Ovis aries: one gene and its partners. The protein of the gene in region 2 interacts with the protein of the main gene of each other region in a biochemical or structural test. Links are inferred from orthologs where the notes say so. Each region holds a gene or a part of one and is shown on either strand. Other genes may lie near its edges. The genes, in order: BAD, RAF1 and BAG1.

Region 1 (4,205 bases), on a different chromosome or scaffold from region 2:
TCTAGCCTTGGCTCAAATGTTGCTTCTTACCAAGGCCCTAGTAGCTCAGCTGGTAAAGAATCACCTGCAGTGCAGGAGACGTGAGTTCGATCCCTGGGTCAGAAAGATCCCCTGGAGAAGGAAATGGCAATCCACTCCAGTATTCTTGCCTGGGAAATCCATGGACAGAGGAGCCTGGAGGGCTACAGTCCATGGTGTCGCAAGAGTCAGACATGCCTTAGCAACTAAACCACCACCACCAAGGCCCACCCTGACCACCTCAGTTCAAATCACTCCCTCGAGCCCCCAAGCACTCTGGATTCCAAAGAGAAAGTCAAGGGTATGTCACCTAAGGCATCACCTGCTAAGGTACCGTATCACTGACTAGTTTGTTTGTTTCTTTGTTTATGACTTGTCTCCCCCTATCTTCCAGAATGTAGGCAACCACAAGGGCAAGAGCTTCTCTTCTAGTCCCTGATGAACCCCTGGCAGCTGGTACACACATTCAGCACTTGACACAGAAGATGGGGACAGCCAGATACAGGGTGGAAAGCAAGTTTCAAGCAGAAGAACTCCAAGTGCAAAAATCTCGAAGTTAAAGCCTGTGGAGTTCAGTGTGACATACAGCAGGCTGGGTGGTGGGGGTGGGGTCTTTTTTCTTTTAATTTTGTTTTTTTTTAGAGATTGTATCCCTAATAACTGAATATCAACCTTTTTTCTTTCTTTCTTAACTGTAATCCTAATTCCCTGACCAGGCATTGAACCCCGGGGTCCTTGGTAGTGAAAGCACTGAGCGTTAACCACTGGACCACCAGGGAACTCCCTGGGGTGGGGGCATTAATAAGCCTTCCTGCTCCTGAAAATGGAAGGGTGTCACACTGGCAGCAGTTAAGGGACATGAGTTTTGTTTTCAGAAGATGTCTGTGGTTGTTCCAGGTGCCAAGGCTTGTACTGGGCACCCAGGTGGTAGGGACTACTAAGACGTGGCCGCTGCCCTCCAGGGCCCATCCTTCCATCTCCGCTGGGTCTCCCTCAGTAGATACAGAGGACAGCTGATGCTTTCCCAGTCCCACACAGACCTGCTGCCTGGTAGGGCCATCTGCCTCTTGGGATTACCTGGCCCTGGCAATGTTAAGGACAGCCCTGTGTGGGTGTGAGCCACAGGGCGGGAAAGAACAGAGCTGGGAACTGGATCCAGATCTTAAGGAAAGCACTAGCCTGAGGTAAGGCACCACAGAATCTTCTAGCCCAAAGGAAATGCCAAGTGAGTGTGACCTTAGGCAAGTCATTTCCCCTTTCTGGCCTCTCAGTGATTCTCTCCTGGTCCTAAGCTAAGAGCTACATACTTGGAGCATTTACTAAACACCAGCTCTATAATTAAGTGCTTCTAAGGTATGCTTGTTAATCTTTCCCACAGCACTACCAGGGTGGTGATGAATTGCTGTTTTACAGAAGAGGAAACTGAGGTGCAGAGCGGTGAGGGACTTACTCAAAGCCCCCCAGAATGTGGATGTGGCTGGGGTGCAGAGAACTACTGGGCTGGAGGCAAGCTGGACAGGCAGGTGGTTGTTGGGTGGGGGGTGGGGGTTGCCTACCTCCATGGTGGCTGCTGCCGGCCGGCTGCCCCTGCTGGTGACCAGCTTCCCCCAGGAGGCCCGGGGCTGTTAGCCAGTGCTTGCTGAGACCTGGGGGCCTGTCCCCTGTGGGGCTGGGGCCCAGGCCCCTATCTGCAGGGCTGGAGTCTTCCTGCTCACTCTGCTCAAACTCTGGGATCTGGAACATGCTCTGGGCTGCAGGGGGGCAAGATGACAAGTAATTAGAGAACAGCAGGAGCTAAGGGTGGCTGGCAGGGTTGGGGGCGCAGGTGTCCCTGGCTCCCTCTCCCACCTCAGCACCCCAGGTCCACCCTGCCTCCCTGGCGCACATCTATCCGTTGAGTCTGGCCCGGCAAGAAGCTCGACTTATCCACCCAGGATCTAAAACTCTCAGAGCTCTAGGGCTGGAGAGAAGCCTCAGGCCCCTGCCCAGGCTTCAGCCAGACCCGCCCGCGGTAACGGCACACAGATCTCACCCCAAGCCCGATAACCAGGCCCCCGACCCGGGCCCGCCGCGTCCCTCTAGCAAAAAGAGAGCCCGGCCCTAGTTGCCTGGGTAACGGAAACTGTCACCGGCCCGGCCCAATCAGCTCTTGAGATGTCACTAGCTGGCCAGCAGGCGGGGCCACTCCCCGGGGCCCCGCCCACTGCCTTCCTTCTGATTCTCTTCTACGTCTCCGGATGCTCAGCTCCTGACTTCCTTATGCCTTGGGCGTTGTGGGAGCCGCTGAGGGATTCTCCGGGGTCCCCATTTGGAAGGCAGCTCCTGCTGACAAATCCTTCAGCCCCTCTGGGACTTAATTCCCACTCCTGTAAAATGGGGATAATGACACCTCTTTCAGGAGTCAGTGATCCTTGTAAACTGGGCGGTGATTACTGTGGGTGAAAGCACTTTGCAAAGCCGTAATCGAAGTTCAGCCGTCGGAGGCAACTGTTGTTGCTGTTGTCACTGCTCCATCCGAACCGGGTGACCGGCTCGGGAAGCGCCCCTCCCTCCTCCTCGCGGTGGAAACCTCGCACCGCCCGCGTCAGGGGCGCCACTCCCCGCACCAACTCGGGGGCACTAGAGATAAGCGAGGGAGCCTCCACCCGGGGCAGGATGACTGTCCCGGCGCAGAAGGGAAAGGGGCCCCTAGGAGGGTGACAATAGGACTTGCGGAGACCTCGCGCCTGGCAGGCGGCAGGCCAGGTGAGCGGGAAACGCAGCCAGCCAAAGAATGGGCGGGCGGGCTTGCGCGGGACGCTGGGGGCCCCCGCGGGTAAAGGCCCGGGGGGCGGGGCCCGGAGGCCATCTTGGCTGAGGGCGGAAGTTTCCCTCAGAGACCGAGTGAAGGGAAGTCGTTACCGCCCCAGGTCGGGCGGCACAATCTCGATTTGGGGATGGGGAAGAGAAGCCTGGGAATCGCCAGCTTCCCATGGAAGCGAGGGCCTGTAGCTCTGGGCAATGCCCACCAGGGCGCCGGCCGGATGCTGCGCAGCCGGAAAGTCAAGGCCGCTCGCCGCCTCTTATAACCCTTGGCACCCGGCGGTGGCGCAAGTTGCGCCAATTCTCGAACAGCTCCGCGCCGGGCGCGGCGCGGGCCTGCGTAGTCAGGACTGGACCCTGAGCAATTTGCGTAGCGAACGGCGGCCGCGCAGGCGCAGGAGGGGGCGGAGCAGCGGGAGCCGGGGAGCCGGAGCCCCGGGTCCCAGCGACCGGAGCCGGCTCCCCTAGCCGCGGCCTGAGGACCGGGCGTCGGCCTCCTCCCGCCCCCCCGCAGTTGGAGAGTGGACGCAGTGGGGGGTGGGGTGGGCCAGCGTCCGGAATCCAAGGACGGAAGGCAGAGGCCCTCCCCATCCGGATTGTTGGAGGGGAGAGAGCCCTCCAGTTTGGGGAGGGGGAGAGCCAGACGTTGAGCGTCCCCAGCAGCGGCCGCTGCTCTGAACAGACTGGCGTTGGCCGGCTCTCCCCCTCCTGCCGGGACGACTTCAGCGACCGAGGCCAGGGACCCCCACTCCTTCGGCTTCTTCACCCCCATCCCCCCACTTCCCCACCCGCCTGTGCCCTGAAGAGGAAGAGCTGTCTTTTCCACACCCCGTAGTGAGGGACCCAGGTTGCCTGTGCCCCGCAAAGGCAAGGGGCCCTCTGTCGAGGGCGGGAGGGCCCGGCCAACCACCACTTCTTTCCGCCTGAGCACCCTACAACTCCCACCCCTCCGTATTTATTTCCTTGGCCCCCTGCCGGCCCCTCCATCTCTGTCTTCAGGTTCAGGCCTCCCTCCCTGACATGGAGAGTAACCTGTCTGGCTTGGTGCCTGCTGCTGGGCTGGTACCTGCGCTGCCGCCCGCCGTGACCCTGGGGCTGACTGCAGCCTACACCACCCTGTATGCCCTGCTCTTCTTCTCCGTCTATGCCCAGCTCTGGCTGGTGCTCCTGTATGGGCACAAGCGTCTCAGCTATCAGACGGTGTTCCTGGCGCTCTGTCTGCTCTGGGCTGCCCTGCGTACCACCCTCTTCTCCTTCTACTTTCGAGACACACCCCGAGCCAACCACCTGGGGCCCCTGCCCTTCTGGCTTCTCTACTGCTGTCCTGTCTGCCTGCAGTTCTTCACACTGACGCTCATGAACCTCTACTTTGCTCAGGTAACCAT
Region 2 (4,131 bases):
AAACAAAAGCACTCCCCATGTAACATTTTTCTATTTTTAGGCAACAGGTTATTAACAAAGCTTTATCTGGAATTAAAATGTGATAGAATCATGCACCTACTACAAACAGGTTACTTGAAATAGTAATTTGAAGTTATTAATTATATTTTCCATTTAATAAGTAACCTAGTGCTTCTGGAGAAGTCAGATTTAACTTCCAAGAAGTTGCTGTTTAATCCTCAGAGCAAACTTCTACTTTGGATTTCACAAGTGGCCTGTTTTAAACTAAAACCAACTAGTCTCAGAGCAGTTAAAATATAATACTTAATGTTTAACCATTCTCCATTTGATCTTTTAGATACTTTTCATCGTAAGTGACCAGCTTAATCTGCTTCTCACTGTTTTCTCCTGCAAAACCAAAACCTATAAAATATGTTCTCCTGTACTTCACTCAAGCCTTCTCCTTTGAAGGCATACACATCTTTTAATTGTTGTTAAATAAGAATTTTAGAAAACTAAGCAATTTCACTACAACTTATAATCACAAACACTGCATATCTAAAAGATAATAAGCTTTTACACAGAAAGAGTAACAGGTTAATTTTCCCAAGTATCCTGTGTTCAACTGGGTCAAATGTTTCTGTTGCATTTTAAACAGCAAGCCCTTAAAGTGATAAGGGTGAAAACAAACCAAAAGAATTTTAATCTTAATGTTCTGGAGTGGTATATAATCATCACAACCCAAAAAAGATTCAGGAACTTCTAGATGAAGTCTGTTAATATCATAATAGTCACTTTAGCACAAACATTAAGCACAACAATACAGCTCTTTGGGGAAAATTATGTTCATAGAGCTAAAGACTTTAAAACAGAACTGGAATCCACAGAATCAATCCGAACAGTTTACTATATAAAACATCTACTAAACTAGAAATAGTTGCATTCTACAATTTTTCAGATTGTTTCATATAATCTGCCAATTTCTAAGCAACTGGGGAGCACAATTTATGTTGTCAACAACCATTTAAAATGCGGTTATAGTAGACTGCCTTACATTTATAAAGACAACACTTTTGTGACCAAGCACAACTTCAGAAGAACCTTTTGCAAGAATCCCGAGAAATATGAATTCTGTTCATTCACCACAGTGCAAGAGCAAAATATTTGACGTAAAGCATTTATCAAAATGTTCTTGACGGAGCTTAACAAAGTAAATCTGTGCAATTACTAACAGCTTTAACATCATCAAGAGAAGGGGGAAAATCGATTATCAGCAAGAAAATTAGCAACATTCGTCTAAAATAACTCCAATTAAACCAACTAGCTCACGATCTTCAACAAAGAAAGATCCTTCGCAAGCTAGGCAACCTTTGTTTCAGACCCTCATCTCTCACCACTTCCTTCCTGCACCCCAGACGGCTTGCTGCTCCCCAAATTCATTCCAACTCCTGCACATCTCGGGGCCTCTGTACCAGCTGTTTCCTCAGCTTAGCCTGCTCCGCCCTCCCCACCTGAAGAGCATTTGCTCAGCACGAAAATCCCCCTCCAGTCTACATGCTCCCTCAACTCCCCCAAGCAAAATGAGTCGTACCAAACTAGCACGACCCTGGGTAAACCCATCCTAATCACAGCGTCTTGTTTTCACATTTGGGAGCGAACAGAGGGGCCGCCTACCTCCACTCAGACCCGAGCGGACGAAGCAGGCAGAAATAATGAACGCGGGCTGAATCCATTCCCTCCTTACGACTTTTCAGAACCCCGTCACACCTAGAGGAGGCACAGCAGACCCTAACCTTCCTCCCACCAGAGAAAGGGGCACACCCTGGCCCCCTGAGAGAGAACAATGAATGAACACAGCCGCCTCGCCTCTCCTCACGTCCAAACGCCTCTCTCGGGGCATCGACTAGCTCTGCAGAGCCTCTGCAGCTGCACAGCCGAAGCGTCCAGGCGGCTCTCACTTCACACAAAGGAGCCCTGGATCTTTATTCCCAAGCATCCTGGGGCCGACCGTCAGTATAAGCATCCCAACGGTATCATCAGTAACGCGCAGAGTCCTGAGCCCCAAGGGGAGGCCCCGATCCCGTCCTTTGTGGTGGGACACCGACCTACTTCCTCCTCTTGTCCCCGACCGCTCTCACCTTCCCGAAAAGGGTGTCACTTGAGAGAAGATGCAAGCCCGGGTCCCCCCACTCTGCGGCCAGAAAGAAACGACGGTGGTCCACCTCAGTGACAACACGGATTCGAGGCGTCTCTGGGCGGATTTTCCCGTGGCCGAAACACAAGGACTGTGCAGCGGGAACTCGGGTGGCGCCCGCACGTCTCCCCGAAACACAAGGAAATCCTGAGTGGGGAATGTGGGGACTCGGCTCGCCGGCCATGACACCGAGCCCCGGGGCCCCCGCCCGCCCAGCGCCACCCGGGGTGACAGCGGCCTGGCCCGGCCCTCCGCCCGACCGCCGCGGGGCCGTTCCGTCAGCGACGCCCTAGCCGGGCCGCCCGGGAACCCGGCCCACTCAGCCCCGCCGCCCCGCTCCCACGGCCCGGCCCTGCAGCCTACCTGAGGGAGCCCGGCCGCCTCCGCGTCCAGTCGTCCGGCGGCGGCGTCTGGTCCGCTCCTCCTCCCCGCGGCGGGTGAGGGAGCGGGAGGCGATCACATTCGGCGCGTCCCCAGCCCAGGGGACGGGGCCCCGGGCAGCTCTCGCATTGTCCCACTCGCGCTCCGCGGCCTCAGGGCACACACCCCAAAGCCCGGCCACCTGTCCCTCTCCGGGGCCCAAGAGCGGCAGGAAAGCCTTCCCGTCTCACTCTCGTTCTCGCCTTAATCCCGCCATCTAAGATGGCGGCCCCAGCGCCCGCACTTGAGAGACTCTCGGGCGGCCCCGGCAGGCGAGCCCTACATTCGGTGCTCCTCCTCCCGACCTGCGCCGCCACCAGCTCTGCTTCTGCGCGAGCCCGCCTAGGAGCCGACTTCAAACTTGGCTCGGGCATCCATCGCTCTGGCCTGAACTCTGGTCCCACCTCCCAGTGGGCGTGGCCTAGAGATCGCGCTGATCGCCATTTCCGAGCCGTAAAGGCTCTAGGGCGGGTGCTGATCGGCCAACGGAGTGGCGGTCGAGGAGGGTCAGAGTTTAGCTGCCCCGAAGGAGTCTGAGACTTAAAAGGGAGAAGAAGGCCAGCCTGGTGATATCTCAAGGTCCAGAGATAACCAAATGAGCCCGAGGACTCAGTGTAGAGAACAGTGTCCAGCTTTGGCGTGTTCTCCCTGGAGTCCGACGCATCAGGAGACACATCGCGACTCTGTCGTTTACCCATCATGTGGGAAAGTCAGTAAACTTCTGAGTCTCAGTTCCTTGCTGGCTCAGACGGGAAAGAGTCTGCCTGCAGGAGACCCAGGTTGGATCCCTGAGTCTGAAAGACCGCTGAAGAAGGGAACGGCTACCCACTCCAGTATTCTTGCTTGGGAAACCCCATGGACAGAGGAGCCTGGCGGCTACAGTCCATAGAGTTGCAAAAGAGACACAGTGTAGCTACTAAACAGCAACAACAAATGGATATTTTAATGCATATACCCATCGCCCCAGCAGGTCCGCTCTGGACACTAATTCTAGAGCACAAAAAGGCACTCGCTAAAATGTTCATTGCCATGCTGTTTGCCTTAGAGATGACACTGGAAAAAAATGTTACTTAGTTAAAAAGGAAACTGCTCAAATAAAGGGTGCTATCTCCACAGTCCATGATATCCATTTGTTAAAAAGAATCAGCTAGTTCTATATACTGATTTTTTTTTTTCATCGAAGACATTACATTTTAAAAAGTAGAACATGTACAGAATGACTGTTCATTCTCACAGGGGCACACAATGCTACCCAACACCATGTACATTTTTTAATTTAAATTTTTATTGAAAGCCTGATGTTATTCTCCGTATTGGGAAGTCAGCAATAATCAAAAGCTCTGTCTTGTAAAGAGAAAGCCAAAGAAAATATAGTCAGTCCTATGTACAGTATAAAGGGAAATGAAGATGAAGCAACACTATGTGTAGGACTCGGCTTCCTCGGTGGCTCAGTGGAAAAGAATCCACCTGCCAATACAAGAGACAGGGGTTCCATTCCTGATCCGGGAAGATCCCACATGCCGAGGAGCAGCTAAGCT
Region 3 (3,540 bases), on a different chromosome or scaffold from region 2:
AAGAACTATTTACAAAGTATACCTAACATTATACCAATTTTTTTAAGATTAAAAAAAACAGATTCCAGGTTTTAGTAATGGTCATCTTTGAGTTGGAGGTCTTAAAGGTAATTATTATTTTTCATATTGGTGCCCACACATCTTCTTAAAAATTGTGTACAATCAGTATGCAGTACTTTAGTAATTAAAACACAATCATATATCCATTAATGTTATAAAATGAAGAGATCAAAAATAAATACATGGTTTGAGGCCATAAGTGATTCTAATTTGGTTTCAGTACTATAAGGAATTGAATAGGTTGACCCCTTGCCAATATCATGCTCAACTTGGACATTCTATCAATCAGTGTTCTTTGCCTTGCCAAATACATTATAACTGACTAGACTGAGAGCAGCTATTTATTCTATTTAAGACAACACATTATCCTAGCATGGCAGGTGTTCTCACAGGAACACAAATGGATGCTGGCTGGGGTCTGTAAATAACAATGATGTGCTTACAAAGCACTTAGAATGTGTCAGCCTTAAACTATGTAACTGAATCCTCACAGCAGCCCAAGAGGGAGTTACCATCATCACTCCCTTTTTTACAGAAGAATTTGAGACAAAGGCAAACTTGCCCAGTTACAGAATGGGAAGTCAGGGTCTGAACCCAGCGGGGGCTGAAGACAAAGTTTGCCCTCAAAACCACACATTTGTGTCTCTAGAGAATTCTTACAGAAGGCAGAAAGTCAAGTCTACCAGGAGAGTTACCTGCTGGATTCCAGCAAGGTCTTTATTCAGTTCTTCCAGCTGGTTAGCTATCTTCTCCACAGATTTCTCCAAATCTTTCAGCTTCTTTAGTTCAGCTTCTTCCTCTGGACTGTTCTAAAATGTTAAGAATAAAAATAAGTGAATAATCACCAAAAATAGTAGCTTCTGTCAGGAAAAAAAAAAAAAAATCTGACCATAAGTAGCCAAACCACTCCCCTAGGAAAACATCATCTTAAACTTGCTGCTTCTTGGAAAGCAAGCTGGAGGATTATACACTAACGTTTTCTATCTGCAAAGACACTAGATGAGATAGAAGGTACCAGGTACATGTTCTGGTGAGACAGCCTGACGGCTTGGGTTCAGAGAACAAAGCTGATCCATGAGCCATATCTGACCTTAGGCTGGGGCTGATCACCAACTGCCTCCAGACTGAAGCCCAGAGTGTTAACTAGTTATAGTGAACGCCTAGCATGTGAGGAGTCCAGAAAGGTGAGACAGGCGGAATTTTATCCTTTCCTTAAATGGAATTCCTGAGCTCTCTCATTCAGTATGACCATGATGACGATGCATACTTTCATTGAGCATCCCCTTTATGCCGGGCATCATCCTAAGCACTCTACCTGCATTATTATTTAAGCCTTACCACAATCCAATGATGAAACTGAGGTAACTGTAAAGTAACCTAAGGTCACACAGCCCAAAGAGGTAAAGCTGAGACCTGAATGGGATTTGGCTTCTCACACCCCAGGACAACTCCAGCTGAGGGTCCTAAAGTTTCTTCAAACTCAACCCTTGGGTTGTGCTCCTTTTTCCATCACCGTTCTTCCTGACCCTTGAGCAAGAAATCTAGACTATTTCCCTTTCTTTCAACTTCATTGGTAGCTAGCAGCTTTCTGCTTTTACACTGTCTCCCATTGTTCCCACTGTCTCCCCTTGGTGACCAAATCCTAAGTGCCAGTCTCCTGGCAGTTCCAAGTCTGCACTACTTTCCTTGCCTCCACATTACTAACCTCTGCCCTCTCTCCACTCTTGAATCAGCCACACCCAGCTTGAAGTAAGAGAACTTCATTTGACCAACAACTCCACTGTGTCACAATGTATTGCTGGCCCCAGGGTCTACTGTCCTCAACCCTTTTTGTCATCAACTGACTCTTTTTCTCCCTCACTTCTAGTCTGAACCTTTCTTTCCAGCCAAAGAGGATTTAACCTCACGGGAGATTTTAGCAAAAAGAATGGTTAAAGGAAGAGAGGCTCCTGAAATTTGCAAAGTACTTATTTTTAAAATTTACAGGTTTGACAGTCTCTTGCAAATTCCTCTCCAAGTGAGCAGCGACTGCTTCAGACACCATTTTATCCAGACTGAAATTCCACCACCAGCACAAAACCCACATAATTGAGGCAATACAACCACTCCTAATTCCCAGGGTGAAAACCCTAAAGAACAGAAGCTGAAGGAAATGAGAACAATAAAACTGGTAACTCCACTAAACAAACAGTAACTACATTTGCGTGGCAAGCACTACTTCACCAGTGCCAAATTTGAGCCCCCAGTTTGGCCTTCTAAACAGACACTCATGTATAACACCTCAGTCATTTGGCTCTGAGGTATTTCTGGTAGAAAACACAATCTACCTTTTTCCCAATTAACATAACCCGGCAACCATTTTGTATTCCAAGTGCTGACAATGGCATCTCCATTTCCTTCAGAGATTTTCCTGAAAAAAGAAGACAGTTATGTCAAATGTAACTTGTACAACAGTGAAAATAGACTTCAGCAAGGGTATAGGAAATAGTATGTTCACTATTGAGAAGAGGATGAGTTGGTGTAACATTTTTAGAAGGTTTCTTGACCCAATAACTTCACTTCAGATATTGATCCTAACAAATAACTGGACATGTGCCTGAACAATAACTATTACACAATTATTATTATTCATAACAGTGAGAAACTGGAAAGTCAAAAACTCAGGAATAGGGGACTGATTACTATACATCATAACAATGGAAGACTTTGTAGGCACTAAAGCTCATTTTTCAGGCAACTCCAATGCCACAATACGTGCTGATGACCGAGTGTTATAAGAAGATCACAAGAAATGATCCAGTTTTATCCACTACAGAAACAAACAAAAAAAAAGCCACAAATGAGAACCCACATTTCAGGATGCCAGGACAAACAAACAAAGGCTGGACAGAAATATACTGAATTGTTATGAGGGGTTTTATCCAAGAGAACATTTTCTTTTTTGTTTTCCTCTATTTAGAAACATGAATTTCTATTGCCTTTATAATTGTAAAATGAAATGCTTTTAAAAAGAAAAGAAAAGGAGTTACAATATGAAGTATAAAAGTAAATGCTTCCCATCACTAAATTCTTTATGATTGGCACCAAATGGGATGAATTTAGCTTCATCAGATACAAAATAATGGGTTCTCATGGGAATGAGAAGACCAGAGAATGGGGATGGGAGTAGGTGTGTCCTGGCAGAAATCACCATATTCCACTGGGCCTGCTACATCCAGGTCCTTTAAACTAGTCTGTTCAGTACCTTCTCTGTGTCAGAACTAGGCCAAGCACTGAAAACAAAGAAGTATCTCTGCCCTCATGTATTGTACCAGAGAAACCGGATGTTTGGTGACTATGCAAACAATTATTTAATAGTAGTTTCAATACAAGCTGTGCAGAACTGGAGGGAGTGCCACAAGAACACACACTGGGAAGAGGATCTAACTTAGCCAGGGAAGACTGCCCATGTGCCTCATCAAAAATGGTGAGGCTTCCACC

What was found.
Region 1: of the proteins of RAF1 (region 2) and BAD, one has a biochemical effect on the other in vitro, tested with the Homo sapiens proteins (2 studies listed by BioGRID). The link is inferred for Ovis aries from reciprocal best matches to the Homo sapiens genes RAF1 and BAD.
Region 3: the proteins of RAF1 (region 2) and BAG1 form a complex in vitro, tested with the Homo sapiens proteins (2 studies listed by BioGRID). The link is inferred for Ovis aries from reciprocal best matches to the Homo sapiens genes RAF1 and BAG1.

Annotation. Positions count from the first base shown.
Region 1 is NC_056074.1:39,034,069-39,038,273, forward strand, and holds the start of BAD (bcl2-associated agonist of cell death), read right to left. Parts: upstream 2,836-4,205; 5' UTR 2,408-2,835; exon of another isoform or gene 1,770-2,407; 5' UTR 1,762-1,769; coding exon 1,575-1,761; exon of another isoform or gene 1-1,574. Other genes in the region: integral membrane protein GPR137, read left to right, coding at 3,841-4,197. UniProt on the Homo sapiens protein: Promotes cell death. Successfully competes for the binding to Bcl-X(L), Bcl-2 and Bcl-W, thereby affecting the level of heterodimerization of these proteins with BAX. Can reverse the death repressor activity of Bcl-X(L), but not that of Bcl-2.
Region 2 is NC_056072.1:56,409,742-56,413,872, reverse strand, and holds the start of RAF1 (RAF proto-oncogene serine/threonine-protein kinase), read right to left. Parts: upstream 2,840-4,131; 5' UTR 2,537-2,839; intron 2,371-2,536; exon of another isoform or gene 2,118-2,370; intron 1-2,117. UniProt on the Homo sapiens protein: Serine/threonine-protein kinase that acts as a regulatory link between the membrane-associated Ras GTPases and the MAPK/ERK cascade, and this critical regulatory link functions as a switch determining cell fate decisions including proliferation, differentiation, apoptosis, survival and oncogenic transformation.
Region 3 is NC_056055.1:37,888,765-37,892,304, reverse strand, and holds part of BAG1 (BAG family molecular chaperone regulator 1), read right to left. Parts: intron 2,471-3,540; coding exon 2,388-2,470; intron 870-2,387; coding exon 756-869; intron 1-755. UniProt on the Homo sapiens protein: Co-chaperone for HSP70 and HSC70 chaperone proteins. Acts as a nucleotide-exchange factor (NEF) promoting the release of ADP from the HSP70 and HSC70 proteins thereby triggering client/substrate protein release.